Linked DNA regions of Drosophila melanogaster. Changing the gene in region 2 together with the main gene of any one other region gives a genetic interaction. Each region holds a gene or a part of one and is shown on either strand. Other genes may lie near its edges.

Region 1 (15,896 bases), on a different chromosome or scaffold from region 2:
CCAAGCTGGAGGACGCTAACGAGGCGGGTGGAAAGAACTCGATTAAATGCACCCTCATCCTCACCGAGGGAGACTCAGCCAAGTCATTGGCCGTATCCGGTTTGGGCGTGATCGGACGAGATCTCTACGGCGTGTTCCCGCTTAGGGGTAAACTTCTAAATGTGCGGGAAGCTAATTTCAAGCAGCTTTCGGAGAATGCCGAAATCAACAATTTATGCAAGATAATTGGCTTGCAATACAAAAAGAAGTACCTCACTGAGGACGATCTAAAAACTCTGCGCTATGGCAAAGTGATGATCATGACAGATCAGGATCAGGATGGCTCCCACATCAAGGGTCTCTTGATCAACTTTATCCACACCAATTGGCCAGAGCTTCTGCGTCTGCCCTTCCTCGAGGAGTTCATTACACCAATTGTGAAGGCAACCAAGAAAAACGAGGAGCTGTCATTCTACTCGCTACCCGAATTCGAGGAGTGGAAAAATGATACAGCTAATCACCATACGTACAATATAAAGTACTATAAGGGTTTGGGTACTTCGACCTCCAAGGAGGCGAAAGAGTATTTTCAAGACATGGATCGCCATCGCATCTTATTTAAGTACGATGGATCGGTGGATGATGAGAGCATTGTTATGGCCTTCTCCAAGAAGCACATCGAGTCGCGAAAGGTATGGCTTACCAACCACATGGACGAGGTGAAGCGTCGCAAGGAGCTCGGTTTGCCAGAGCGATATCTCTACACCAAGGGCACCAAGAGCATCACCTATGCAGACTTTATCAATCTGGAGTTGGTGCTGTTCTCGAATGCTGACAATGAGCGCTCCATTCCTAGTCTGGTGGATGGCTTGAAGCCGGGTCAGCGGAAGGTGATGTTCACTTGCTTCAAGAGGAATGACAAGCGTGAGGTGAAGGTGGCCCAGCTATCCGGATCAGTGGCGGAGATGTCAGCCTATCACCACGGAGAGGTATCCCTACAGATGACAATCGTGAATCTGGCTCAGAATTTTGTGGGTGCCAACAACATTAATCTGCTTGAGCCACGCGGTCAATTTGGTACCCGCTTGTCGGGAGGCAAAGATTGCGCCAGCGCTCGTTACATTTTCACTATAATGTCTCCCTTGACGCGACTCATCTACCATCCTTTGGACGATCCACTTTTGGATTACCAGGTGGACGATGGCCAAAAGATCGAGCCACTATGGTATCTGCCCATCATACCGATGGTATTGGTAAACGGAGCCGAGGGCATAGGAACTGGATGGTCCACGAAGATATCCAACTACAATCCTCGTGAGATTATGAAAAATCTAAGGAAGATGATAAACGGACAAGAGCCAAGTGTGATGCATCCGTGGTACAAGAACTTTTTAGGACGCATGGAGTATGTTTCGGATGGTCGTTATATTCAGACTGGTAACATTCAAATTTTGTCCGGAAACCGTTTAGAAATCAGTGAACTCCCTGTGGGCGTATGGACGCAAAACTACAAGGAAAATGTCCTGGAGCCTTTATCAAACGGCACCGAAAAGGTTAAGGGTATTATTTCCGAGTACAGGGAGTATCATACAGACACCACCGTTCGCTTTGTGATCAGTTTCGCACCTGGAGAATTTGAGCGCATTCATGCAGAAGAAGGTGGTTTCTACCGAGTGTTCAAACTTACCACGACGCTGTCCACCAACCAGATGCATGCGTTCGACCAGAACAACTGTCTGCGACGCTTCCCCACCGCGATCGATATCCTTAAAGAGTATTACAAACTGCGACGAGAGTACTACGCCCGCCGGAGGGACTTTTTGGTCGGCCAGCTCACGGCGCAGGCTGATCGCCTCAGTGATCAGGCGCGCTTTATTCTCGAAAAGTGTGAGAAGAAGCTGGTGGTGGAGAACAAGCAGCGCAAGGCCATGTGTGATGAGTTGTTGAAGCGTGGATATCGTCCCGATCCCGTCAAGGAGTGGCAGCGCCGCATTAAAATGGAGGATGCCGAGCAAGCTGACGAAGAGGACGAAGAAGAAGAGGAGGCAGCTCCCAGTGTCAGCTCAAAGGCTAAGAAGGAAAAGGAAGTCGATCCGGAAAAGGCCTTTAAGAAACTAACTGATGTCAAAAAGTTTGACTACCTTCTGGGTATGTCCATGTGGATGTTGACAGAGGAGAAGAAAAACGAGCTACTCAAACAGCGCGACACTAAACTGTCCGAGTTGGAAAGTCTGCGCAAGAAGACGCCGGAGATGCTTTGGCTGGATGATTTGGATGCCCTCGAATCGAAGTTAAATGAAGTAGAGGAGAAGGAGCGCGCAGAAGAGCAGGGGATCAATCTCAAGACCGCGAAGGCTTTGAAGGGCCAGAAGTCGGCCTCAGCTAAGGGCAGAAAGGTTAAGTCAATGGGAGGCGGAGCGGGTGCCGGAGACGTATTCCCAGATCCCGATGGAGAACCCGTCGAGTTTAAGATCACCGAAGAAATCATTAAGAAAATGGCAGCGGCTGCCAAGGTAGCTCAGGCGGCTAAGGAGCCGAAGAAACCCAAAGAGCCCAAGGAGCCAAAAGTGAAGAAGGAACCGAAGGGCAAGCAGATTAAAGCCGAACCTGATGCCAGCGGCGATGAGGTGGACGAATTTGATGCAATGGTCGAGGGCGGCTCTAAGACCTCACCCAAGGCCAAGAAGGCGGTTGTCAAGAAGGAGCCGGGAGAAAAAAAGCCGCGCCAAAAGAAGGAGAACGGCGGCGGGCTCAAGCAGAGCAAGATTGACTTCAGCAAGGCCAAGGTAAGTGTTTCAGTAATTGCCCATATTTGTTTTTAAACCCAAATCTGTATTTAATTGTCAATTAATATTTTTCATCTTTAGGCGAAAAAGAGCGACGATGACGTGGAGGAAGTAACTCCTCGTGCAGAGCGTCCTGGACGTCGACAGGCCAGTAAGAAGATAGACTACAGCTCGCTCTTCTCGGATGAGGAGGAAGACGGTGGCAACGTTGGCTCTGATGATGATGGCAATGCCAGCGATGATGATTCGCCCAAGCGTCCAGCTAAGCGTGGACGAGAGGATGAGAGCAGTGGAGGAGCCAAAAAGAAAGCTCCGCCCAAGAAGAGGCGAGCTGTAATTGAAAGCGATGATGATGATATCGAGATTGATGAAGATGATGATGATGATTCTGATTTTAATTGTTAAGGAACACATTTCCACACAGGATATTGATAGAAGATGGACTCTTAGAATCAGCATTATCCGCATCGAGAATCTCGAGGAGGCACTTTTTTTTGCGGACTTGCTCGCCACGATCGTTCGTTATTTTATAATCTTTCAATGTTCTCCTCGATGTTAACGTCAATGTTTTATAATTCGTGTTTTTATTAACTATAGATAAACACTTCGCTACATTCGTTCACTGTAGCTGATTCTGTTCCAGAGCAGCAAGAAAGCCACCAAGAGGAATTTACAAACGTAATATCGATGTATTAACATGTTCCATAAAGATAGTTTGTAGTCTCATACGAGTTTTCTTCATGTAAATAAATCACTTTTGCCGAATGGCTAATACATTAAATTTCGATTGGTTTTTTGGGTAAAAAAAAAACACCACTACGGGTTAGGAATAATACGTTTTTATTCGCGAAAGCTACACAAATCGGAAAGTGGGAAATAAAGGTAATCTCTTCTCTAATTCTCTTTACGACTCCGCACCCTCCAGGAAAGTCTTAAAGGAATTCTTAATGTTGTCGTTGGCAAACGTTGGTTGCTTGAGAGCCTCGCGAAGAGCAAATCGACAGTTCTTGACATCGTAGTCCGAATGGAATACCTCCTTGCAGGGCAACAAACGGAGCTGCATCAGTACATAGTTGAGTACACGTGTCTCCTGCTTTGTCTTGATGGCATAGTCAAAGGTGGCCTGGTACAAGGAGACGGCCAGATCCAACGCAGCTTTCGAGGATTGCGACAAATGCGCGCACTTCAAGGTGGTGAAGACGAGCAGTAGCAAATGGTTGTCGCCGGTGAATTGCTGTACAAAAATGTTACGTTACTCTAATTGCATTCTAATTATTGAGAATATCTTACGTTGACAATCGACTGCAAAGCCTCAAGTTTGTTATCCATATCTAGCGAATCGAAATCTTCCTGGGAGCAGGGTTTCTGGCTCAAACAGAACTTCTCTGGAGTGCATTTTTGGCTGATCGTCTTGTTCGCGACCGCAAAAGTTTCGCTGGCCATCGAGTTGGTTGTGTCGTTAAAAAGCTGTGAAAATTTAAAATTAAAGATAATTCGATTAATTGCTGTTACCATTTGCACAGTACTCCGAAGTATAAACTAACCTTGGTCGTGTAGGCATTCGTAGTGACATAGGCAGTCTCCTCCGCGACGTTGCTGTACTCCTCGTCTCCCTCGTCTTCCTCGTCGTCCTCGTCGCCCTCGCTATCCTCATCTGCTTCTTCGGTAGTATCGTTGGCGTGCTCGTGTACTTCCTCTTCCTCTTCGTAATCTGCGTCCTGCTTGTCAGCCTGGTATTCATCTTCCAAATCCTCCTCTTCCTGGTGCTGAAACGGTTGCAGTGCGGCAGCAGTTGGCAACTTACTCATCTCGCTGATTATCTTCTCGCTGCCTTCTTCTCCAAAGCTATTGCCATCTAGATTCAAGATGCGTAGCTTGGGCTTGTTTCCCATAGCATTCACCAACACCAAGCCGCCGTCGCTGTTGATTTCGTTAAAACCTAAGTCGATAACTTCCAGTCGTTCGTTTCCTCTCTCCAGAGCCTCACCGAAGTGGTAGGCGCCATTAGTTTTGATCAGGCAGTCTCCAAAGCTCATTTCACGCAGCCTGCAAAGCAAAAAGATATCACATAACACTCACTCACTCTCCCTCATCAAAAACTTTATAACCGACTCACAGTGGCAAGAAGGGAAGAGCCTCAGCTATTTTTTCAGCTCCCTCGGACTTTAGAGTATTGTCGTTCATGTTTAGCACTCGTAGATGAGGATTATGCTTGAAGGATTCGGCAAGGGCCTCGACGCCTTCGATGTAAATGGAGTTTTGCTCCAGAACAATCTCCTCGAAGGTCTTGAGGGTTTGGAATGCGGTTGCCATTTCCGTAGCACCGGCATCCTCGAGACGATTGCGCGAACCTATGAACACACGCAGCTGGAGCGGGAAGCCCGCCTTGTTGGCATTGGCATGCAGATCGATCAGAGCCCGGGACAGCATACTACCGCCCTCGGGACCAAGGCCACAATTGCACAGCAGCAGCTCCTGCAGCGAGTAGCAGACCGGGGATCGCAGTAACTCCTCTAAGCCTCGCATGCCATTCGGTCCTAAGGCATTGTCGCTGAGATCCAGGACTGTCAGTTTGGCGCCCGCGACAATTAGCGCGGCTCCCAGGTGCTTGAGTGCCTCCGGAATCTCCGATATGAGACGACCAGTAAACATGTTCTTCCACAGCGCCTTCCGAAACTCTGGATGACGCTTCAGACCCTCACCAATCGCCTTGGCGGCCTCAACGCCCAGTGTGTTCCCGTCCAGATTCAGATAGTGCACGGTGGTCTGTTTGTTAAGGGCATCCACCACATCCTGGACTGTAAAAAGCCTCAATATAGCCACTGCATGGAGTACCCAAAGCGTCACCCAAACTTACCATCGGCAGCTGTGTTCCAGGAAAGCACCTTGTTCTCGAATGATATTCCCTGCTCCTGGCCCAGTTGGGCGGCCATGCTGGCGAAGTTAAAGGTGGACATGCTTGCTTTTAAATGGAATTATTTTATACGAGTGTATATAAGTCGCACTGTACTTTGCGATTGCAGCCGGCTTGCGAAATTTATTTTAACCTCGCAAAAATGGGCGCTAGAATTTTGGCATTGCTTGGTATTATTTGCCGGCAAGGGTGGTCACACTAATAAAAACAGTGATGCTCAAGGCAAAAGGGTTGCTGAAGGGTGATGCAGATCTGGTTGTGACTGGCCTAAAATATTCTGTGTTGTGTTTTAGGAAAAACATATTTATTGAAGTTATAAATATAAGGCAATTAATTTACGGATTCCTAGCTGGAAATTAAATGCAATTATCCGAGCTAGCATTTTGAGCTATTTTCCATCACTAATTTAGTCATCTCAGCTACAGCTGCACATTCCCACAGATTCACCAGATTTCAGTGCCTTGCAGCACTGTCCAGCAGCTGCTGACCAACACTGCTCGATGTTGGTTGCAGAAAAAAAACAAGGAAAACAACGACCTGAGATTATGCTGAAATAAATACGCTGATATGAGCTACCGTGCTGACCTGTAGGGCAAACCGACACGAGGCATGTTTAGGAAACTGCTTAAGATGTGGATTCTGCTCCGACCCACCCACTGGCTGATCCTGATAGCCCTGTGCGCGGTCACCTGTGCAGGTTACTGGTTGCTTTGGTCAGAGATTCGCCTGGAACATGGTAAGTGGAGTCCGGTAGTTAGGCAAAACCATATCACTTTTACACCCATTACCTACTTTGTGCAGCCTTCAAGCCGCTTTCCAAGCTGGGCGATTCTCTGAGCCCAGATCAGCATGCCTCGTCCACCACCGATGACTTTGACTTCGAGGAGCACCTAGTGGTGCTTTACAATCGCGTACCGAAAACGGGATCCACCAGCTTTGTTAACATAGCATACGATCTGTGCAAGCCCAATAAATTCCATGTGCTGCACATCAATGTCACTGCCAACATGCACGTCCTCTCGCTTCCCAATCAAATCCAATTCGTGCGCAATGTTTCCAGGTGGCACGAGATGAAGCCAGCTCTTTATCACGGCCACATGGCCTTCCTAGACTTCTCAAAGTAGGTAACATCTAGCCAATCCAGCAGAGCCCGTCTCAATTGCATTACTCCTTTGCAGATTCCAAATCGCCCACAAGCCCATCTACATCAATTTGGTGCGCAAACCGCTCGACAGACTTGTCTCCTACTATTACTTTCTACGCTTTGGCGACAACTACCGACCGAATTTAGTCCGCAAGAAGGCGGGCAATAAAATTGTAGGTAGAGCATCAAGGTATTAACCTCCCTGTAACCAAAGCCCTCACACATCTTTGCAGACCTTCGATGAGTGCGTGGTGCAGAAACAACCCGACTGTGATCCCAAAAACATGTGGCTGCAGATACCCTTCTTCTGTGGCCATGCAGCCGAGTGCTGGGAACCCGGCAGCAGTTGGGCCTTGGACCAGGCCAAGCGCAATCTAGTCAACGAATACTTCCTAGTCGGAGTCACAGAGCAGATGTACGAGTTTGTGGATCTGCTCGAGAGATCCCTTCCAAGGTGTGCCTCCCAACCATATGTTATTGTCTGTTTTAGAATACTCCAGTTGCTTCATTGACCTGTTCTTTTTTTTTCTTTTGCAGAATTTTTCACGGCTTTCGTGAGCACTATCATAATTCAAACAAATCTCATCTGCGGGTGACATCTTCCAAGCTTCCGCCCAGCGAATCGACAATTAAATCCATTCAAAAGACAAAAATCTGGCAAATGGAAAACGATCTGTACGATTTCGCGCTGGCCCAATTCGAGTTCAACAAGAAGAAGCTCATGCAGCCGGACAACAAGCACGTGCAGAAATTCATGTACGAGAAGATTCGGCCCAAATGATTGCAGAGGAGGCGACGGAGTCGCAGAGCGAGGATTCGGCCGACTCCAGTGATCTAACCAGGAGTCTCCGACAATTGTATTGTAAATACGTAATTCTCCTTCGCATAGATTTGATCTGTACTTAAGAGTAACTCATCCGTACACTTAAGCGCTACCTAAGACTTTAGCATTGAATATCGTTGACATATTACTAACCCAAACCTTTTGTACGTAGTCTAAGCTTTAAACGTATAAAACAGGCGAGAACGCTTTTGTAGTTCATCGTAAGCAATATCTAGCAACAATTGTCTGCACAATATCTCTATATGATTAGTCAAATGTACGTTTTATACTCGACAATACAACGGAATGAATGGATGAATTGAATCGATATGCATACGTAGAACTAGAAATAGGTGTAAATTCATATGTAATCGACTCTCATTGTTTGTAACTCTCATAGGCTAGGCCATAAATCTGAATTTGACATTCAAATTAAATGCATGTAAATACCTAATAGATAATGGAGTGTCTGTCCGTCTGTCTGTCTGTATGTCCATGTGAAGCGCGCTGTGCGTATCAACAGCTGTCGCTGGGATTGCGTGTTCGTAAATTGATTAATGCCATCAGTGGGTTACTTTTAACTTTCAGCGTTCTGTACTTCGACTTAGCTAATTGCACTTGGCTGCCCAACGAAATTCCGCCGGACTTTAAAGGCTGACGTAGCTCCGTGCTCGAAGGTGATCGTCTGACTGGAGGACGGAATGACCGAATGGCTAAATGGCGGAATGGCGGTCCGACACGCAGAATGGGCTCAGGCAAGCGCAAGAAATGGCATGGAAATACATTTGGAAACGGCGAGCAGTGAAATACTTAATTAATTGCTCGTGCTTGAAACTAAAAGCAAATGAGCTCGAATTACCCACAGCCCCCGTCAGTCAGTTGATCACTTGATCGTGGAACGCGGACACGCCAGTCGAAAGAAGGTACATTAGCTAGTGTCCGGCAGAAAAGCAGAAAGTTACTGTTGTGTCGAACGGGAGGAGTGATAGCCAAAGCAATAACTTACACACTTACGATCCGTAAGAGGGATTACAAACTCGTTTTTCACTCAGTCACAGTGGCGAAGGCGATTAGTCTTTAAACTACTCGTGTACGGAGCGTTCAAAAGTTCAAGTCTAATTGCATCCAAGTCGCGTAACCATCAGAAGATTAACCACGATACACTGTGCGAAACGCTCAGAACACGCACTTAATATAAATATATATACATATATAAAGCTGTGCCGCGATTGCGAAAGTGCCCCGATGCTATATAGCTAACTTAAAAATTTCGTATTTTGCGACGAGAAATGAAAATATTCCTTCGTTTACATTCTAGAACAAATATAGGAAGTGGACTTTTCGCAAGTGGCAGATGAGAATTTCTCGAAAGTGCTAAACAGTACAAGTTACAAAGTGTATATAGTTACAAAATATAGCAAAGTGGATTTCCTGATAGAAAGTACGGATTTTTTCAATAATAATAATAATAACTATATTGTTTTAAGTCAAGAACATTTCTAAAAGTGCACACAAAGTGAAGAAAGTTCTTGAATTTTGTAGTACTCACTTACTTTCAGTGTACCTTCTGCAACATTATATTTAATAATGTTAATTGCTGTGGAAAATCGATTGAGTGCGCTGCACCGTGAGAAATACCGCACTTGTCTTGGCACTTTAACGTACTAAAAACAATGGAAATAACATAAAATTAATGCTGAGCTCAGTGAACCATTTTCAGGTGAACTTATGCAAAACAAGCCAAAAAAAAAAAAGAAGATCCCATGCGGCGATTCGCGACGTGATCTTTAGAGCTCTTAACTCGAATCGGTCGCTTATAATGACCTATTAAGTCGCGCTGGCCTTACGAGTGCCCGACTATTCCGACCGACCTATGTATATATCTTGATAACTATAACTTTGTCGTACAATACATATGTGCAATGCACGCAGTGCATAAAAGGGGCGGCTATAAAACGATTTGACAAGCAGCTTTGTATTTTCAGTCTTCAAACGCGACCCAAGCTCACTAGGTACATATATCGGAGTCGAACGGGAGTTCCGAAGGATTTCCACTGTACCAGCCAACTATTTGTGGATTAGCCGATTTTCAATTCAAACAAGGTGAGTAATTGGATCTCATATATACATTTGTATATATATATACATATAGAGTGCTTTTCTTTTTAAGAGTGCATTTCTGAGTGTGTAGCGCTAGGGACCATAAAAATATCTTAGCCAGATCACCATCACTATCACTATGTAGCTACGCTCAGCCCTTATTTACGAGGCATCACTGTCTGTCCGTGTTTTTTGCATTGCCTTTTGCTCATTACTGTTGCATGCATTCCCCCCTTTCGCACTCGTCGCTCGAGAATTTCAGACAAAGTTCAGTAACTCGCCGACGACATTGACCCATTTAGCCACCGCCGATGCTCCCGACTCGATCAGCCTGAATAAAGAAATATTAATTTATTTACATACGCTAGCATTTGCATGTGCATACCGGTTTAGTTAGTTGTAAAGTAACTTGTGTGTGTATTCATTCGATCTGCATCGCCATGACCATGCTGACCACTGCATCTGCGATGAGGTGCCTGCCCTCTGAATTCCCACTTGGTGAGCAATAGCGAAATCTGCCGAACCCCATTTTTTATCGTATATTTATTGCAAGTACTATATGCATTTTCTTAGAATTATCTCCCTCAAATAGAATTATTTTCTATATACGTACGTATGTATTTATATAAGGCGCGTGGCTACAGTTGCTCGAAAAACTATACACCAGTTTGTTAAAAACTTATATACAGTTGTGCTGGTAATTGAAAGTCACGATTAGTTCGAGAAAGAGTATTTAAAAGGTATTCAAAATATAAATAATTTAAAAAAAACAACACTTTTTGCAATGCCTTTTGATATGCCATCTAAATTGTTTGGACATCAAGCGAGTATTCATGTAACAATCCATTTGTTCGATGTCAGTAATATCTACCGACTTGTACTTTTTCCATCTCTTGAGTAAGGTCAAAGCACTTTTGCTTTTGAACCGCCATTGTCACGTTCTTCAAAAGCAGGTTTCTCATGCAGGGTTTTTAACACGCTTTTTGCAAAGAAAAAACCGAAGGGCGAAGGTTGACATTGCAATGGGTCGTAACCCCAGAATTACTCATATTACTCGCTTCAAGTTTTTTCCATATACTCGCAGCTTTGTACCACCCAGTTTTCGTCAGCATCCGCTTCGAGATGGCCAATAAAAATTGACCAAATGACCGAAACTGGCCGTAATGAAATCGAGAGTATCATCGCAACGTAAATCCGTATCCATGAATGGCCGAAGTCTTCGCACGTGCGATCGTGCGATTGAACCGATTTGTCCAAAACCGGGCGGGAACCATTTGCTGTCCACAACGCAGAGGGTGCTCGGCTTTGGGACGTGTTAATTATACCAAATATGCCTGGCTTAACACATGGGGCTGAGAAAATAGGGACATATGATATGACATGGTGATGCGGTGTCATTAGATGCGATCTTATGATCTATAACTATGATCTATAAATAGTTGAAGATGCTTTCAAGTGTCCAATGTTTGTGGTCTCCAACAAATTGCTAGTGGGGTGACCCCAGGTGTAGGTACGCCGAACAGGTGTAAGCACTAATTGGCGTGTAGCTGGGCAGCATTGAAACCGGATGGCTATGCACGGGCACGGGGCTTCAGGGTCGCGATGGGAAATGCCTATGCCAAGGGATTTTCAAGAGCCCAATAGTACTGTGGGCGATTACCCGAAGAAAACCCGAATAAATTAGGCAAGTCCAAGTTGAAAGCGAAACTGAAACCGGCTTGAGGTGGCGGTGGCATCATTTCCCAATGACGATGCACCCCAGACCCAGTAAAGCTTGCTCGCTCTCCCTGGGCAAACTCCATGTGTCTCTCCATCTAGCAACTCCACGCTCTTGCGAGGCACGTGAATGTCATGCTCAAGTTCAGATTCAGCTGGTGATGATCACTTAATGGGTGCACAACTTGTTTCATATAATAGCATTATATAGTTATTCCCCATCACTAGTGCAAGCAAGCAAGAAAATATATGTTTCAGTAGAAGCTTATTATGTTGAAACTACTTCATTTTGGTGCATTAAAGCATTAAACAACTATAGTTAAAAGACCCCCTTATAGCAGAAGTAGTTACTGTCGGGAAACAAACCCACTTGGCAGCACTGGCGTCTCGATCGGCGACACCCACTCTCATGCCGCTCCGCTCACAATTCCAGTTTTAATTCTTGGCCTGGCATAAAATCTCGACTCGCGCTTTTGGCCGCAACAGTTTCATCTGGGCTTTCAGCTCCGTTGCACGCGTCACTCGCAGCTGGTTTTTTGGGCCGTCTTTGCGGAATACTGTTAGCCATTATACCATTATAGCCTTTAAGTTTGGGCCAAACTAGTTTCGGTCGTGTTGTGTTGTCTTGTGTTGTGTTGTGATCCGTGTGTACTATTTAAGATCTCGTATTTTCCCAGACACAACATCAGCGATTCAGTAGACTCTTGTGTATCATTCATGAATGCAAAAACAGACGATACCCTAAGCAAATCACCTGGCCCATCTAGCCGAAATTGGTAGCAATTTTCAATGTCAGCGCTTCGGATGCTAATCTCCTAGTCTTTTGTTTCGAGCCAGCACTAACGCTAATTTTCGATTTGATGGGAAATCTTCAGCGCTAATTTCCGATTTGATGGGAAATCTAGTGTGCTAATTTCTGATATCCAACTGCCCCACTATATAAGCTCACAGACCCTGGCTCCTCATCTCGCAATTCGAAACCTGCCTAACTGGAAATTACGCTCAAGTAGAACGCGTCAAGTGTCTCCAGAATTTAGTTCAAGGCTCCTAACGTTATTTTCTGATCTCTGAAGAATTGCATTATCTTCGCGAATCTCTGGCCTCTTCTTCCGTTTTAAGCAATTTGCGAATGTCAAGGTGAAGGTCGGCCAGGTGATTAATAAATAAATGAATACATATATGGATATGTTTAGACGATCATCGCATTGACTGGCGGGAAAGTCTAGAAACTCGATGCAGTTGAGCCGGTTCCGAGTCACTTGTGTCTCGCTAATAAATTGAAATCTCTACGCTTTTTTCTTCTTATAAATAGAGGGCACAATTTTACATTTGGCAAACTGAAAATATACAGCGGCGAACCGCTTAGAAAAAGCACATAGCTTAATATAATCGCAGAATAATTTCAGTTCAGCCAGAGCAGCAACAATTGCAAAATGAGTAAGTAGTAATTGTGAAGTATGACAACTAATTGGCAATCGATGTCAGTTAGCTCAAGTTATTTAGTTGGCCAAAGTTCCCAGTGCTCTCAGTGTGAAACCCGCAGCCCCAGCTCAAAGTACAGAAGCTGTCGCTAACCGAACCCCAACTGCTTCCCTTCCAGGAGTACCCACCATGCTGTCGGACATCGACCAACTGCCCACGCTCCAGGTGGGCGACTACACGCTCCAGTTCGAGTTGGGCGAGCCGACTGCCCAGGGCAAGGAGGTGGCCATCAAGGAGCTGCGCGAAACACCCGAGCGCCAGAAGGAGGCCTCCAAGGAGCTGGCCCGTCTTCTAGAAGGTGAGTCGTGATCAGAAATGGAGTTTTACTTTGAATCAATATAATTATACATTAACTACATGAGTTAAAACTCACATGATGAAAGTCATTGAAACTGCATTACATCTGTTTAAAGTATATACATATATCTGAACTGAGATCATACAATATGCATTTTGCTAAGCTATTTTCATAATTTATATCCGAGGGATCTCCAAAAGCTGATAAAAACTTGAGTTAATAAAACTTAAGCCATAAACTTCGTACTTAGCCTGCATCTAATAATTTACCCGATTGTTGGGAATTGAAAATCCATTTGTACACCAAGTTCGAACGAATAGTTCTATATCATTAGTTGGCGACTTCGTGTCACTAATAACAAGTTGGGGCTAAAAGCAGCGCGCCCTCGAGAGGATTTCGTTGCATAAGATTCGTAACTATTGTTACAAATTACGATTGCCTTTTAATTGCTGGATAAACTTAATGCCAGTGGTTTAGTGACTTTTTAGAATTAAGACTATTGAAGGTGAGGTCGATTAATATTTGCGATATGCTTCCAGCGGAGACGGACTTGCTGTACCCCAAGGGAAACGAGGAGTGGCTGATCAGATACCTGCGGCCCTGCAAGTATTACCCGGAAAGTGCCCGTGATCTGGTGAGTCTAGTGTGGCAACCCAGTTTCCAGCTGTGTTACTAATTGTATATATTCTGAATATGGAACAGATTAAGCGGTACTACGCCTTCAAGGTGAAGCACGCGGATGTGTACACCGACCTGAAGCCATCGAACGAGGCCAACATCTTCAAGCACAACATCCTTACCGTCTTCCCCAACCGAGATCAACTGGGTCGTCGCATTTTGGTCCTCGAACTGGGCAGTAAGTACACTGAAAGAAGGATACTTCAATATATTAGCTTTTGAGTGCAAAGATCTCGATCTTCAGAGTAAAGTTTATTTTAGTTAAGATGCAGGTTTTCCTATCATTTGAAGTTTCATAGTTGCTCCAAGCATTGAGCAGATCCTGTATTAATCTTTCGTAATCCCCGATTACAGAGCGCTGGAAGCACAAGCAGGTCACCCTCGATGAGGTGTTCAAGGGAGCTGTGCTCTTCCTGGAGGCGGCCATGCTGGAGCCAGAAACACAGATCTGCGGAGCCGTTGTGATCTTCGACATGGATGGCCTCAGTCTCCAGCAAACGTGGCAGTTTACGCCTCCGTTCGCCAAGCGCATTGTGGACTGGCTTCAGGACTCGGTGCCGCTCCGGATCAAGGCCATTCACATCGTGAACCAGCCGAAGATTTTCCAGGTGGTCTTTGCCCTGTTCAAGCCCTTCCTCAAGGAGAAGCTGCGCAGCAGGATCATCTTCCATGGCACCGATCGCGAGTCCCTGCACAAATACATGTCGCCCAAGTGCCTGCCAGCCGCCTACGGAGGATTCCGGGAGGCCAGCCGCATCGACAGCGACCAGTGGTACCAGCTGCTGCTCAAGTGCGACACCGAGTTCGACACCATCAACTCGTACGGCTACAAGAAGAAGTGATCTGTGGCCACCGGCCTGGTGCTGCTCGTGATAATCAACTCCACTCGTTTCCACACGTCTTCACATTAAGCCCACGTGGAGCGTTATAGTTAAGCACTCGATCTACCATACGCTTGTCCTGTTAGTGAGTAGCGCCTAGAGTTTGCCTTAGTCTTAACCAGGATCGGAGTGTCGATCGCAGCCAGAAGAAGTGTTATACCTACATGCATATTATTTTAATCCGGGGTAAGCGTATTTATATCATTTTACTATTGTACATTAAACCAATTGTTAAAATATAAACATACTTTGTAAACAAACACGTGCGGTATTCATATTTATTCGTTTGTTCCCAGCTTTCACATCAGATAAACACACTTAAGGCACTCCGAAATTATGCAATATATAAGGAAAAAATGTAGTGATTACATTCTGATTGCCTTATGCGTAGTACATTAGACACCTAAAGCTTGCTTTCCTCAAGCAAGACACTTGGTTATGGTAAAGCTTATATACGATTGTTATAAGAGTATTTCATACCGCATATATTCGATACGGTAACATAACAAAATAATAACTTAGTAAGATAATATTAAAGCATAGCAAGTAAAAATGGAGATCCTATTCTTGACATAGAAGCTAGCTCATAGTTAGCTCGCTGTGAAGCATAGTTCCCTTAGAATATCAACCACAACGAGGCAATCCACTCTCTACAGCCATCAACATTGGGTGGATGGGTTGCCTTTCGGTCTGAAGCTCCTGCCCCTCCGCGGACTGGAATGCATTGAATCTGAAGGTCAACCCGGCGGGGTGAGTGGTTAAATTAAGCGTAAGTTTCCTGACAGCTCCTGTCTGTCTGCTCATAGCCGATAATTGGTGGCTGGCGCCTTGCTGGCGTTGCGCTTCTGGCCGAACACTTTCTTGCCCGGACTGTGCATGGCGGCATCATCGCCATCCGCGTCCTGCCCTACGCCGCCGCCACCGCCTCCTCCGCCTGTGCAACAGATGCGCCGCTGCACCAGGCGAATGGGGCGGGTGAGGTCAATGGTGTCGCCGTGCTGGCGCAGTTCCGCCTCGGCCACGCACTCCATGTGCCGCCACTGGCGAAGGCCAAGGACGAACGCATCCGTCACATTGGTGGCCGCCTTCGATGAC
Region 2 (14,552 bases):
CAGCTCCACGGAGCGTCTCAAGCGGGGCATTGTCCATGCCCGCATCCTGGTGCGCGAATGCCTCATGGAAACGGAGCGTGCGGCGCGCCAATGAGAGGAGGAGTCGCTGGCGCCGCAGCTGGCGACCCCGGAGTGAAATGGACCAGGAGGCGAGGATCGGCCTCATCTAGGTTAATTACCCCCAAACAAAAAAAACAAAAAAAAACACGGACATATAGCAAACGCAAAGATCCATTTTGTCCCAATTAAGCATTAAAGTGTAGCAATTTGTACTAACTTGTAAGCCCACATCAACTTAATGGCCCTCGGGCCGCCGGACCATAGTTAAAGAATGTTTAGACTAGCTCAGGTTACAATCGGTTAAATCGACAATGCTACAAGTATAGCTGCAGCCCAAGTTATTGGACTTGTGTATCTCTACCGTATACCCATTAATTTGTATCCGTTAATGCAAGACCCAGTTGCTCCTGTGTCTGCGTTAGTGAATGCAATCAATTACGAGTATCTAATGGCAACCGCCGTCGAGGATTTGCAGATACAAATGCAGATGCAGATACGGATGTATCTGGACAGGATTTGTGCGAGTTTGTCACTGCCGGATAAAGCTGCTCCTCGTTATTTTAGAGAACTATACAAATGCAGATATGTAGATGTAGTTAAGCAGAGATATATGTATACATATATACTTGTTATGCAAGCGAACAGTGTGCATGTCCAAGTGAATGGTGAATTAGTGGCAATTGACACGAGAATATTTATATATGTATACACATTATTTACTATATGTATGAGAGCAAATACGACTAAGTTCAAGCATGTATACCAAACCGAAACCGAAATCGAAATCGAAATAAATGCGCTATTTTGGTTTTTGTAAACGCAGAACTGGCAAACTTGATTCTAATTATGTATGAACCCCTCATAACCATCCATCCAACTGCATCTCTCATTTAAGGTATGTATGTTTCTATAGTTATATATTCAGTTTTCATAGTTCATTTCACATTTGCAGTTCGACTTGCGAGGGAGGCGTTGTCAGCAGTTGAACTTGGGACAGCAGCCGGGATAGGGTTTGCTCAGATCCTCTTCCATTTTGCAGGGCTTCAAGGAGGCGATGGCCGGGCATCTGGATGGCCACAAGTGGCAAGGTGGGTGAGTCAAGGAGTCATCAATCCATGTAGAAGCTACTCACCCCAAGGCAGTCACCTGTTTGGGTGCCTGGCAGGTGTACTGCAGGCAGCGACCTTCCGGCGTGTACTTCTCTCCGGTCTTGAACTGATGCCCACCGATCTCGCAATCCACTACGAATGAACAAGATGAACATGCGGGATTGAATGGTTTGTGGCGACGATGCACTGCATCCACTTACCGGCGAACACCAGCAGCGAGTGGGCGCCCAGAACGAGCAGGCAGAGTACGAACGTGACCGATTTCATATTATGTAGCTAACTGATCAACGGATCGCTCGGCTGGGCGACTATATAGTTCCACTTGTTTCGGGGTGCGCCAGCGATTAGACTGAAAGGTCAAGATCCCTGTGCTCCCGTGCGATTGCGTCTCAGGGGTCCTCGGGTTTATCAAATAGGTGGAAAATTCTCGTTACATACAGATTCGTTCCGGAGGCTGGCGAAACAGCTGCAGTTCCAGTGATAACATCATTAGTTTCTTAAACTATATATGTTTTTATTTAACTAAAGATTATACTTGTTACTAGTACTTTGGCTAACTTTGCCACAAGATCAATGGATTATAGTTTAAATAGAAATAGTAATTCCGAACAGATCGATGCTTTTGGATCTAGTATCTTGTATCTAGTATTCGTCGGAGCACTCGAGTTGGGGACAGCACTCGGGGAACTTGAAATCATAGTCGTTGGGTGAGAGGTGGCAGCCAGGTCGCGGCCATGGCTGTTTGTCGCAGCTGGAAGGGATTGGGCGAAATGGGATATAGTGAGGGCATGCGATCAAATCTCGAAACTTACTGGCGTATCAACAGCAGATAGTCATCGGTGCACTCCAAGCGAATGCAGTAGCCCTGCTGACCGGAGGGCAGAACGTAGCCATTGAGTGGAACGGCCAGGTCCAACTCCTCGTAGAGGCAGTGCTCCGCCAGGCTAGGGTGCTGCGTGTGACCACGATACTGGGTGCTGAACCCATTGCCGTCCACCGATGCGGCCAGCAGACAGGCCACAAAAGCTAGGGACATCCAAGCTGCTCCGGACATGGTTGCTCTCGTTGTGGAATAGCATTGGGTCGTCACCGGAACTCATCTCTTATAGGCGGCGGGCCATCCATCTTATCAGCTGGCTATCAACGCTCTCGTGATTCCGATTTCGGCTGCGTTTGCCTTGCTCTCGTCATCTGGAAGTGGAGGAAGTGGCGCACCACGTTATCGCACTTGCTGACACTCGAGGATGTTGGCCTAGACCAGGAAAGTATGCACCAAGCAAATGCTATCAGGTATTCGCCATTCCACTCATGGGATAGTTGCAAAAGTAATTCAGTTTTTCAATCAACAAATATTGGTTAAGCCATTTGGGAGCTGGGTAACTAATTATTAGTTGGGTAAACCATTTCAGGAAATTCTAGTAGGATTAATAGAAGAGGAACCCAAAATGTAGTCAACTTTTTAGCAAAAGTTAATAACTATACCTATAGCTTATATGTAATTAAGAAGTAATACGACAATCTTACCAATTTGCATACCAAGTAATGTATCTATCATAATTAGTTAGTCTATCTGTATTGTATCTATCTATCACTTCATACTGTATATATCTATCTATCAATACTATATCTATCAATCTATCTATCTATACTGTAACTATATATCTATCATATATCTATCATATATCTATACTGTATCTATCCATCTACAATGTATCTATCTATCTATCTATATATACTGTAACTAACTATCTATCCTGTATCTACCTTAAGTAGATGGTTAATTTGCGATTTGTTATAGAAGATCTATGCTTAGAAGATCTTAACTTACGAGTTCTGGTGGGAATCGTGGACTTGACTCCATTCCATTCAATCCCAATCGAATCACGGCGGAATTAACTAATGCAAATACAGTCCAGACGAAATCACAATGCACTTGCACTCGTGAGTGCCATTAAATTTGCATAAATGTATCTAGGTACATATTACGTACGCGGGAATCAAGTGTTGTGTGCTCAGCGTACACTGCGATAAATGAATGGGGTACATAGTACATACATATCTCTATACATCTGAATTGAAGATTTGACATAGGATTGAGGATTAAGCAGGCATTTTAAGTATATAACTACTTTGTTTTATTCTATAGAATATAATTGACAGTCCGCTTTCTCCAAGTGTAGCTGGCCCAAAATTCGGTGGCACAAAAGAGTTATTTGCGTGCCGTGATTACCGCTCAACCTTGCCACAGTTTCTCGAACCGTGTCACTTGGCTGTCGGGGATTCCGCCTGCCAACTTCACTCCTCCGCTGCTGGCCGATCCCCGCCAGAACTCACTCTCGCTTTCAGGGCTGGCTTAATTAATTTAAATTCTTAATTTAAACTAGAGCTGGCGGGCGGCGCAAAGCGAACGCCTTAAGTCGGTCGGCAAACAAAAGCCACAGATGCTATCGCTATCTGGTTGTGCACACACACACATGTGTGCCACATACTCGTGGTAGTACGGCACATGGTTCATTATTAATTTTATATAAAAGCAACAACAATTAATTGTAATTGACTCAGTCGCACGGGCAGCGCTCAACAGCCAAGTCGGATTTGGATTTCGAGCAATCGTGGTGTTGCCTCTTAGCTTATCCCCCCGAAAGAAAAAAACCACCATCACCTCCTCCTCCTCCTCCAGCTCCTCCGCTCATTCGGCGACTATGCGAGCCGGAGTCGCCTGTCTCCTGGTGCTCCTGGGCATCTGTGGAGCCGCTCGGGCGGATCTTACCTACCGCGGAAATGCAGTGCATCCAGGTCATTAAGAAATGGATACTGTATTCATACTATACTATCTAGATAGTAGTTAGATACTGTAGTGAAAACTAGATACTAGAAAATGATATCATATGAACAAATTCATATGAATCAAAGGAATATATTATAGATTCCAGATATACAGATGCTATAGTATCTATAATGACTACCAGATACTATAGTATCTATAATGTCTCTTAGATACTGTAGTAATATCATATCAATCAAAGGGATATAGTACTATAGTTCCAACCAGATAATGATCGTTTATGTGCTTTATGTTTCCAGACTATCCTGGCCAGTGCTACTACGAGGAGCTCAACCAGGCCATACCCAAGAAACAGTCCTACAAGCCCATCAATCGCGAGGGCTACTGCCAGTCCATCTACTGCAGACCAGACTATGTCCTCGAAATTAGCTAGTAAGTTAAAAACACTTATTATGAATATATATTTTTAATGCATATTTACTTACGTTTACTTCAGTTGCGGTCGCCATAATTTGGTGCCCACGGAGAAGTGCAGGATCGCCTCGGATATGCGACGCACCTTTCCGGAATGCTGTCCCAAGCTGGTGTGCCAGGAGTCCGAGAGCAACTACATCTAGCTTAGACTCCTGGCTGCTAAGTATTATTATAGAAAAACATACTTCCTAGTATTGTACATTTTTATTTTGGCACAATGTTTGTTAAATATTACTTGTAAGTTCATTGCGTATTTATGTTGATAGGTTTATTGTTCTATGTTTTTGATATTCTTGCCGGAAATATATATGTATCTATTCTAACAAAAACCCAAAGAATGAAATTCATTGTATATATTTTCAGCCAAATGATAAGTTCATTGTAATTCAAGTAGGTTCTCCACAAAATTTGTTGCTTTAAAATCAGCCTAGAAACGCACAAAAACACTGTGGAAAAGTAAAGTCAATATAATAAATATAAAATAGAAATAATTTATAATAAATTTAATGATCTTGCTTTAAACTAAACTTTTGTATGTTCTTGCATTTTATGCGGATATTTTTGGGATTTGTGCTCAAAATTCAAAACGGAATGTTAGTAAACGGCAATGATTAATTTTTAATTTAATTTTGTTCCCTTTGAGACGATGATCCATTTGGACACCTTTGTACGATCTGGAAGAGCACACTCTCTGTGGAAACTACGCATCTGATCAGTCCGCCTCCCTGGCAATTAAGCAATTAGCAAGTGCTCGCGGAATCCCACTCAATCAAGCAGCTGAAAATGCAAATCACCACTGACTACTGACTGGCTGATTCGCAAACGAGCCGCGCTCCAAGTGGCTCTTTTGGGCAACCTATAAATAGGCAACGGGCTGGGCCAGCTCTCGGTTCAGTCTCGTCACCGCGCTCCAAAGATGCACAACCGTTGCGGATCCATTTGGCTGCTGGCGGCCGTCCTGCTGCTGCTGGCGCTCCTGCTTCCGCAGGCACTGCTGCCTACCGTCGATGCGGGTAAGCTGGCCATGGGATCTCCTACTACTGTTCCATATGTCATATGTAATCATATGTATCTTGTACGTAGCCAGCGAACCCGTGTGCTCCTACCGCAACTCGGAGGATGAGACCATCTTTCTCAAGTATCTGCCGCTGCTGAGACGCGGACAGGACTACGTGGACTTCGGCAAGGATGGCAAGTGCCTCAAGCGGGCCATCTGCACGGACACCTTCAAGACCATCGTGGAGGAGTAAGTGCATCATGACAGCGATCTTAATTAGCAACTTAGGTTGCATGAAGAAAACAAAATATTTCCTAGCTGAACTTTGCCCCGATCTCCACATGATTCTAACCAAGCCATCTACAATATCTTTTTTTCAGCTGTGGACAGCAGAAGGTCACCTGCGGCAACAAGGATCGCTTCACCGGAGTTTTCCCTGCCTGCTGCCTCAAGTGTCCCTAAATCCGAGGAGTTTCATTAAGAACAGTGTATTCAAATGTAGAAATGTAAACAGTAGACGATTAGCTAACGGAATATATGTGCTACCCATTCAATTACAGGGTATGCGATAACTATAATCTAGCATCATTTCCTTATCATCTTTCAAATGCAAATCCAGCTCCGTTCGTTTAGTTTTTTTTTCTTCGACGTTTATTTTTTATTTCTTTAGTTCTTAGATTAATAACATGTGGATGCGAATTCGGCGGCCTGTCTATAGGTTATTTTCTCATAGTTTCCAGTGTTTTCCTTTCTTTTCTTTTTTCAATAGTATTAATTTTCCTTTGGGGGGACTCAGTTCATTGGCCAGCTATTGCGCTCTCGCTCGCTCCGAGCATGCCGTCTCGCTCGTTTCTAACATTCACACTTTTGTTGAAGTAACTTGGTTTTTTCTTCCTTTTTTTTTTTGGGTGGAAAAGAACATTGGTGTTGCAAGTTTTAAAAAAATACGTTCTGCGACTATTTATTTCTCTTGGTTTTCGATTAAGTTGCTGTTGCCTGCTGCTTTAGCACTTTAATGACAATACTACTTACTTACTCCTTTTTTTCCAAGAGCCAACGTATAAGGAAACAAACAAAAAAAAAATCAATTATAACCGACTTATTAATGAATTGGGGATCTAAAATTTAAATACAATCGACGTATTAAGAAGGGCTTGTTTGTAGATTTTCCCAACGATCGATCGAAGAACATAGGCTGGCAAATCCAATAGTGTACGGATAGTACACTACTGCTAATGCTACTTCCTCTAATCCGTAATCCTTCATTCCCTCTTGCCACGCCTTTTCATACGGTGCCTGTGATTCAGTGTTCTATGTTCGGTGTGGTGTTGTGTGTTGTGGTTTTGTGTTTGAGTGTGTGTGTGTTTGTGTTTTCGCGCAAGTCGGATTTCGCTCTAAGTTAACTACAAATAGGCTTATAGCTCCTCGTCCTCGTCGGGCAGTGCGGTCGCCTGGGCCTCCTGCAAGTCACGCTCGATCTGCGCCTGCCAATCCTTATCCATCTTAACCTCGGGCGGCAGCAGGGCTGGCATGGCGACAAACTCCAGGTTGGGATCACCAACCAGCTTGCGCGCCAGCCAAAGGAATGGTTTCTCGAAGTTGTAGTTCGATTTGGCAGAAATATCGTAATACTGTTTGACAAAAAAGAAGGCACAAGCACAATAACGTTAACAAAATTTCAAATAAAAGTTCAGCTTTTCTTTATTTACCTGCAAGTTCTTCTTTCGGTGGAAGACGATGCTCTTCGCTTTCACCTTGCGATCCTTGATATCGACTTTGTTGCCACAGAGGACGATTGGTATGTTCTCGCAGACGCGGACTAGATCGCGATGCCAGTTGGGCACGTTCTTGTACGTGACACGCGAGGTAACATCGAACATGATGACGGCACACTGGCCCTGAATGTAGTAGCCATCGCGCAGCCCGCCGAACTTCTCCTGGCCAGCGGTATCCCACACATTGAAACGGATGGCGCCACGATTGGTATGGAAGATCAATGGATGCACCTCCACGCCCAGTGTGGCCACGTACTTCTTCTCGAACTCACCGGTCATGTGCCGCTTGACAAAGGTGGTCTTGCCGGTGCCGCCATCGCCGACTAGCACGCACTTGAATGTGGGTATATCCTGACCTTCCTGAGCCATCCTTCTAAGCACTCGGTATCTTCGTTAATGCAAAATTTCTGGAACGGTGAGCTGCAGATGGAACAATTGCGTTTGGCTGGTTAGCAACTTGCAACTACTATGCTACTTTATATATTTAAATATATATATATATAGCGGAGCTTGAGCAGGAACAGGAACAGGAGCGGAATGTGTTGGCTAGGATGTTGTTGGTTCGGCGAGCGCCAGGCGACTGACTGCCCGTCCTGCGAGCCGTCCAAAATGTGACGTGCACAATGGATGCGTCAAAGCCCGCCAAGGACGGCGACCAGCTGTTCGGCGAGGAGCGAGCAGGATAACGACAAAGGACACTGCAGCTGCCGCTCCCGCTGAGCCCGCAAGGATAAGAAGGCCGAGATGCCGAGCCAGAGCGAGATGGCCACAGGGTATGGCTGGCTGTGTGTGCAGGTAAGCAGAAATGCCAGGCGCACCAAACAACAACAACAACAAGAAGGCGGCAGGGAGGCGGAAGGATATACTCTGCATACTCGCACACATACATTCCCACCACGTTTATGCGCAGCCCAAAACAGTTTGCCACACAAAAGGAGACCCGGAAAACCCACGGCGGCTCTGACCCACAATTGACCTGGGTAATACTAATTTAAACCCGAGCATAGGAAACCAAAGTGAATAATAAATGCTGACATTTCTGTTCGCAAATAATTAGCGCGCATAAACGCTTGGCATAAGTTTCGGAATATTAAGCGTAGAATTGGAGACATTCAAAACATTCGAAGAAAAGCGCAGTGTAAACAAAATTTTCATACTAAAGAAACTTGATCGCGTTATTGTGTTTGTACTGTATATAGCATAACATTTGTTTATGATTTACTGCGAACTGTAATCAAAGATATATACAAATTTAAGAAGTTATAGAGAAGAAATATTGGTAAATATAGGTTTTGAATGAAATGGCCATATAGCAAATAGAAGTACTTTTTAAAAGAATTAAAGCAAACTACCAAGTTCATCAATAAAGATGACCATATTTTCAGCATGAATCAAGATCAGTTTCATCAATTTGAAATGAGGTGAATAATTTGAATGGATATATTTCGTAAAACGCTGAAAAAGGCATTTGATGACTCATTCCTTTTGGAGACTGAAATGAGTAACTTTTTAAGGATGGCAAGATTGTGAAATTCCTGCGCATCACACCACTGGTGCTGCCCATAAAAGCAGGAAAATTCCTTATTTTGAGTGCCGCCTGTAACGCCGGCAAATTACAAGCACACACACGCACGCATGCACTCGTATTGGTGAGAACCTGTGGACGCTGCGAAGCGCGCCAAAAAATAAAAATGCCGACATACAAATAGTGCAGCGTTTTCTTAGCTCATTTGCTGGCTGGCGAACAGCGCAGCAGTCGCGATTCACGTGAAAATCGCCAATCGCATTTATATATTCTAAATAACAAATCGAATTCTAACACACATACGCACCCACACATGCACACGCACACGGACGACGAACAGACGCAGACAGACGACGACGCCGACGTCGCCGCCGGCAGAAGAAACATGAAGCAAATTCATTGCCGTTTTTTTTTTTTTGCGATTCATGTTTAACCTCACAAAATGCGAATGGCATGGCAGTCGGCGAGAATGTTCCGATGGCCAAAGGACAAGGACATTTGTCCTGCTTCGGTGTGGCGTACGGAGGAGCTGACAGTCCCAATTGGACGGCGCTTTTCCACTGCAGAGCTTGCCATGAGCCGGAAAAGGAGGGATAACAGCACGAGGCGGCACCACGTCGTTTTTCTTTTTTTTTTGTCAGCGAAATCTCTGGAAGCTCTATACGCCACTTGTTTTGTACAACTCTAGCCGGCAATCGGGCTTGTTAACCGGCTGGACTTGGTGGCCGGAAGCCGGGTGGGCGGTGGCCGGGTGGACAGACAGCAAAAGCCGCTGGGTCGGGAATAAAGCACACAATTCCAGGCGAAGCGACGCCGTCGTCCATATTGCATGCGAATTTGGGGCGTCACTGGCGTCATGCCGCACAGCACTTATTCACATCACGGTGGCGAATTAGCCAGGCTGGCAGCGAATTTGCACACAATTTAAAGCCCATTTTGTAGTTCTACTTACATTTTGCTCGAAATTCCTAGAAAACCACAACTTTCTTTTTTGCCGAAACACAATGCAGTGCTGCCAGATTTGAGTGATAAATGAAGTATAGCTGTTGCCTCGATGTTTTCGTTATCGGCCAGTGTGACCGTGCGAGCATAGAGAGGTTCCAAATTCTGGCGCTTACTTATATACCATCCACACCATTTGCAATTATTTAATATAATATATTAAATATATGGCTTAGTAGATATACAGAACACGTGTAGTAACAAAAAAAAAAACTGTCTATCAAATTGTAATGAAACTTTTTGAATAAATAATAAATAAAATTACGAAACTTTTGAGATGCCGTACGACGGAATACGCTCTGTGAGCTGAGTTAAATAATAAATATAAATAATAGTGCAATGTAATAAAATAAATAATAATAAAATAAAGTCAGCGGAGAACTCTTATCGTTAATAGGGCGGTTCATGATATTTATTGGCTGTAGTACTGGAGAAGGTGGCATTTAAACTCCTTCCACTTGTAGACGATTTTCTGCAAAACTGTAGATAAATTTTTGATGAATTTTTTAAGGATCATTACTTAATTAGGCCTACATAAGCCTATAAGCACGGCATTCCGGAACACGCTCTGTCAACAACACCAAACATAAATGACTTTCATGGGTACTTTTTTGTATAGGCTTGTTCATATTTTGACCCATAAAAAAAAAAAAAATAATAAAAAACTTTCCAATGTTCAAAAATTTCACCGTTCCGCCATCGACTCTAACTCATCGACGCTAATTTGATGGTCTTGCGTGCATTTTGGAACACTAAATAACGAAAAATTAATTTTTAAAAAACTTCCCCATGTTCAAAAATTCCACCGTTCCGTCATCGAAGTTATTGACGCACATCGTCCTTATTTCTCCAAATTCATAATTAAACGCATATTAAGATTAAAAATTCGCTACGAGAACGAGCACATGTATTCATCTATCTGGCAACGCCACCAGTTGATGCAACACATTTTTATCTTAAATTGCGAAGTTCCTCGGCCAGATATCAGTTACGAATGTAGTGATCAATCTATCACATTTTCTAACCACATTCGGTTTCAATTCCCACCCCACTCCCTTTCGAAAATTTGCCCAAAATTCCCACAAGTGCATCAATTGCAACGCATCCGAAATCAGTCGCGTGCGTGATTCGTACGATAACCGTCGTTATATATATAGCGTCAATATAATCGGAACAAGATGAGCAAGTACCATAAGGAGCGCAAGTACGCCAAGTTCAGGTACTACATGGAGAAGTACTACGTGCTGCCGCTGGAGCTGAAGAACGACATCATCTACTGCCAGCGATCGCTGCGCGATTTCCTCAAGGTTCACGCGGTAAGTGCACCATGGCTCCTTGGCGAACACCAGTTAATTTGTTTCCTTTGTCTCTGTTCTCTCACTTACGCAGTTGGTCTCGGAGGTCTTCGATGAGCAGGCGGATGCGGTGGGTTTAATGCCAGAAGACTGCAAGTCTTTGTCCTTTGTTCTCTACGCCACGAGAATTCCCGATTCCCCAGGGTGAAGGTGTTCGCCCGTAGAACACCACCCAACCCCCCTCCCACTACACACAACCAAAAAAAAAACCAAAACAAAGAACTGTATGTAGATGAAGCTATGAAACGTAGTACTTAGTTTAGTTTTTTCATTTCAAAGAAACTGATGTACTCGCGATAATTTTCTAGAGTTGGGTTAGAAACATGAAAGAGGCAACTGCGTTTTAAGCAAAACTAATAATGCACAAAAATTGGGTCAAATGTTTTCATTTCCAAAGGAACCACGTTCGCATCTCTGAATTTTTTCGAAATTACTTTCACTTTTTTTTGAAAAGAAGACATATGAGAATTATGTATATGACGAAATCCATCATCTATATGAGCAAATATTGCTGATTTCTTAACAGCATTAATGCGCATATTCTTTAATGCCGCTTTATTTCAATATTTTTCCAACGTGCATCCTTATCCATCAATCTCAACCTCATTTGTGATTGAAATGTATTCCCTTTTTTGCTCAGTGCTTGTGGTCATTAGCGTTTTTAATGGCCATTAGCACCTGTGCAGCTTCCACCTAACAATCCCAGCCACACCTAATGTGACACTCACGTTCTTGTCGTCATTAGGATCCAGTGCAGATGCGTCGCATCTTGGACGAACTGGAGGAGGAGGTGTACGAGATCAATGCCGAGCAGCAGTTCCTTCTGCTACGCCTCAACGATAGCCTACAGGAATTCTCCGTGAAGCTGAAGGAGAACAACATCATGTTCCTGCCGGACATCGCCCATGAGTACGTTTCCGCCCAGGTAGTGCCTTTGATCGTCGATCCCAACTATAAGATTATGCCACAGTCGGTGATGGCTCGTGATACCGAGGAGATGCTTATTCGCAAGCACTTCCTGCTGAGCCAGGACGATGATTCTGGTATGCCGCCGCTTAAGCTCAGCGAATTGGATGAGAATATACCATTGATGCTGGCTCCGCCGGTTAGGGGATTGGGTCAGCAGATCGCCGCCGTTAAGCCGGAGCCAGAGTGGCTCCAAGGCGATGAGGCGACAGTATCAGTGCCACCGCCGCCGCCACAATCGAAGTCGAAGCTGATGAAAGGGTCGCTGGATTCGACCCCGGCCAAGCGAGAGAATATCAGCCGCAGCTCACCGCCGCCCTTGGCGCCTATAACCCAAACCGTAGTGGCTGAGTTGTCACAAGTACCTCCATCACCACAAGCAGAATCTCCACCAGTAAACTTTCACGTTGTGGCCCAGAGTCGCAAGAACTTGCAGCAGGCATTGAGAAGGGCCAGAAAGACGAAGCAGCAGCCACGTTTGTTCGACGACGAGGAGGACCTGGAGATCACCAGTTTGCAGAACGATCGCAACAAGAACAGAACCAGCGATGGCAAGGGGACACCGCCATCGCTGGAGCCAACGAATGCTGCCGCCAATCAGGCAGCCAAGAAGACCATCCCACAAATGTCTAGTCAGGGGATGGCGAAGAATAATACCGCGAAGAGCAAAAACACGTGCAGGAAATCCTCGCCAACGCCCACATCCAGTGGACAGTCGCAGCCAGCGGTATCGTCATCCGGCAGCTCCGATGATTCCAGTGCCGAGCTGCAGCAGGAGCAGCAAAGACGCGTCGCATCCGCCGCCCAGTGGCGCGATGAGCCGCGCGAGAGCCGCACCCAGCCGGAGGAGTACGGCCAGGAGACGTTCCTCGGCCTCTTTGAGCTCTACTCGCCGGAGGTGCTCAAGAAGCTCAGTCAGCGCCACTCGAAGCGCAAGCGTCGCACCGTTCAGAATGCCAGCGGAGTGGATTTTCACTATGGCCAGCAGTTGAATGCCGTGGACGCGTTAGTCATGGGCGTTCGTGGTCAGAAGAAGACCAAGGAGAAGTCCGAATTCCTGCTCTCGCCGACGGAAAAACGTTTGCAGGCCAACTCGAAGAGGACGTACACACGCAAGAGCAAGTCGCCGGACGAGATTTCGGAGAAGAGCAGCGCAGGAGGAGGATCTGGCGCATCGGGAACTGCGTCTTCATCAGCCTGTCAGCATAAAGACGGCGGTGCCTCCAAGTGCCGCAAATGCCGCGAGTGCCGTGAATGCAAACGTCGTGTGGGTGAGTCATCCACCAACCACAAACTTGTTGAGTTGGTTTTCTTAAATTCGTATTACCCATTTAATGATTTTATTAATATTTTATTGTTTTGCTTGTTTTTTTTTTCCCAGAAACCGAAGCGATGTACTGCCACTTGTGCAGCGGATTATACCACATGGACTGCCACGAGTTCACCAAAAATCGCCAGCTGATGCAGCTGCAGAACTCTCGCTGCCCCCCATGCTTGCGCGAAAAAGATAAGTTGGAGAAGTAGTGCGTTGCCAAGTGAGCCATTGATGTTAAATGTTTCTCATTCTTGCATAAAGGATTGTATATATTTGAATCAACCCTAGTTGGTATGCTGAGTTCGTGTTTTTATATTAAAATTTATTATTACTTAAATGATTATATGATTATATAAATGATTATTATATTCTTATTTTATAAATATACTAATTAAAACGAATGGATATTCTATTTGCAAACAAAGAGAATGGTGTTACGCAGCAGGAGTGATTTAATTAGGTATATGAATAATATTCATATTGTTTCTTTTTCGCAAACAATCGAGTCTGTTCCACTGATAGCTGATTGACCCGAAGTCGGGATCTATGCCATATATAGCCATAATCAATGGTTACATATTGAATGTAAGTACCTTATTTGCGATCGGAAAAATGATACGAAAAAATGCACGAGTAAACGGCAATAAAATCTTAAGCAGAGCAAGAACATTCGATTTTAAGTAATAACAAAAAATTGTTTGTATTTATCGAACTGTTGATATTACATTGAGTGTTGCTGAGTATTGGAAGATGTATATACACATTGCCGGCTAAGAGCACAGAAAGCAAACAGTCTAGTTTCGCATCCGCTGGAGCAGCCAGGAGCCGAGCAGCGGCAGCATGGTGATGAGGATCATCTGGGGTGCACTGGACCAGCTCCTCGCGCCGTTGCACAGGTCGCCCTGGCAGAAGCACATGTACACCTTCTTATAGTTGTAGATGGTGTCCGCACAGCGATCCATGTTGTCGTCCGGACCGCGCTGCACGCACATCCGCTGGATGGCCAGGTCGTAGTCGTCGATGGCATAGGTGCCGCCGCCCTCGATCACCTTGCCGCACCAGCCGCTGGCGCACGGGATGGCCGCCACTCCCGGTTCCTGCTCCACGTCCGTTGCATTGAAGGTGAAGGGGTCCTTGCAGCTGCCCAGTTCGCCACGGGATCGGCACTGATAGCAGCGGCGCAGAAGGC

What was found.
Region 1: of Ran (region 2) and RanGAP, changing one suppresses a phenotype caused by changing the other (phenotypic suppression), as found in Drosophila melanogaster (one study listed by BioGRID).

The regions. Positions count from the first base shown.
Region 1 is NT_033779.5:19,435,012-19,450,907, reverse strand, and holds RanGAP (Ran GTPase activating protein), read right to left. Parts: upstream 8,950-15,896; 5' UTR 8,653-8,949; intron 8,570-8,652; exon of another isoform or gene 8,181-8,569; intron 8,076-8,180; exon of another isoform or gene 7,605-8,075; coding exon of another isoform or gene 7,361-7,604; intron 7,278-7,360; coding exon of another isoform or gene 7,057-7,277; intron 6,997-7,056; coding exon of another isoform or gene 6,858-6,996; intron 6,800-6,857; coding exon of another isoform or gene 6,481-6,799; intron 6,416-6,480; coding exon of another isoform or gene 6,289-6,415; exon of another isoform or gene 6,158-6,288; intron 5,957-6,157; 5' UTR 5,723-5,956; coding exon 5,623-5,722; intron 5,564-5,622; coding exon 4,882-5,563; intron 4,812-4,881; coding exon 4,310-4,811; intron 4,233-4,309; coding exon 4,056-4,232; intron 4,000-4,055; coding exon 3,670-3,999; 3' UTR 3,591-3,669; downstream 1-3,590. Other genes in the region: Top2 (topoisomerase 2), read left to right, coding at 1-2,765, 2,847-3,170; Hs2st (heparan sulfate 2-O-sulfotransferase), read left to right, coding at 6,289-6,415, 6,481-6,799, 6,858-6,996, 7,057-7,277, 7,361-7,604; CG10237 (uncharacterized protein), read left to right, coding at 10,187-10,244, 13,063-13,242, 13,782-13,876, 13,945-14,098, 14,275-14,762; Rab9, read right to left, coding at 15,602-15,896. UniProt on the Drosophila melanogaster protein: GTPase activator for the nuclear Ras-related regulatory protein Ran, converting it to the putatively inactive GDP-bound state. Trans-acting factor necessary for meiotic distortion.
Region 2 is NC_004354.4:11,138,809-11,153,360, forward strand, and holds Ran (Ran), read right to left. Parts: upstream 9,773-14,552; 5' UTR 9,678-9,772; intron 7,789-9,677; exon of another isoform or gene 7,608-7,788; 5' UTR 7,570-7,607; coding exon 7,135-7,569; intron 7,057-7,134; coding exon 6,841-7,056; 3' UTR 6,044-6,840; downstream 1-6,043. Other genes in the region: CDK2AP1 (CDK2-associated protein 1), read left to right, coding at 1-94; ssp7 (short spindle 7), read right to left, coding at 1,036-1,126, 1,193-1,301, 1,370-1,436; CG15199 (uncharacterized protein), read right to left, coding at 1,812-1,920, 1,982-2,223; CG15202 (uncharacterized protein), read left to right, coding at 3,872-3,965, 4,254-4,386, 4,451-4,571; CG15201 (uncharacterized protein), read left to right, coding at 5,345-5,441, 5,512-5,674, 5,806-5,887; Lint-1 (l(3)mbt interacting protein 1), read left to right, coding at 10,906-11,043, 11,117-11,152, 11,828-13,319, 13,430-13,572; rtv (retroactive), read right to left, coding at 14,158-14,552.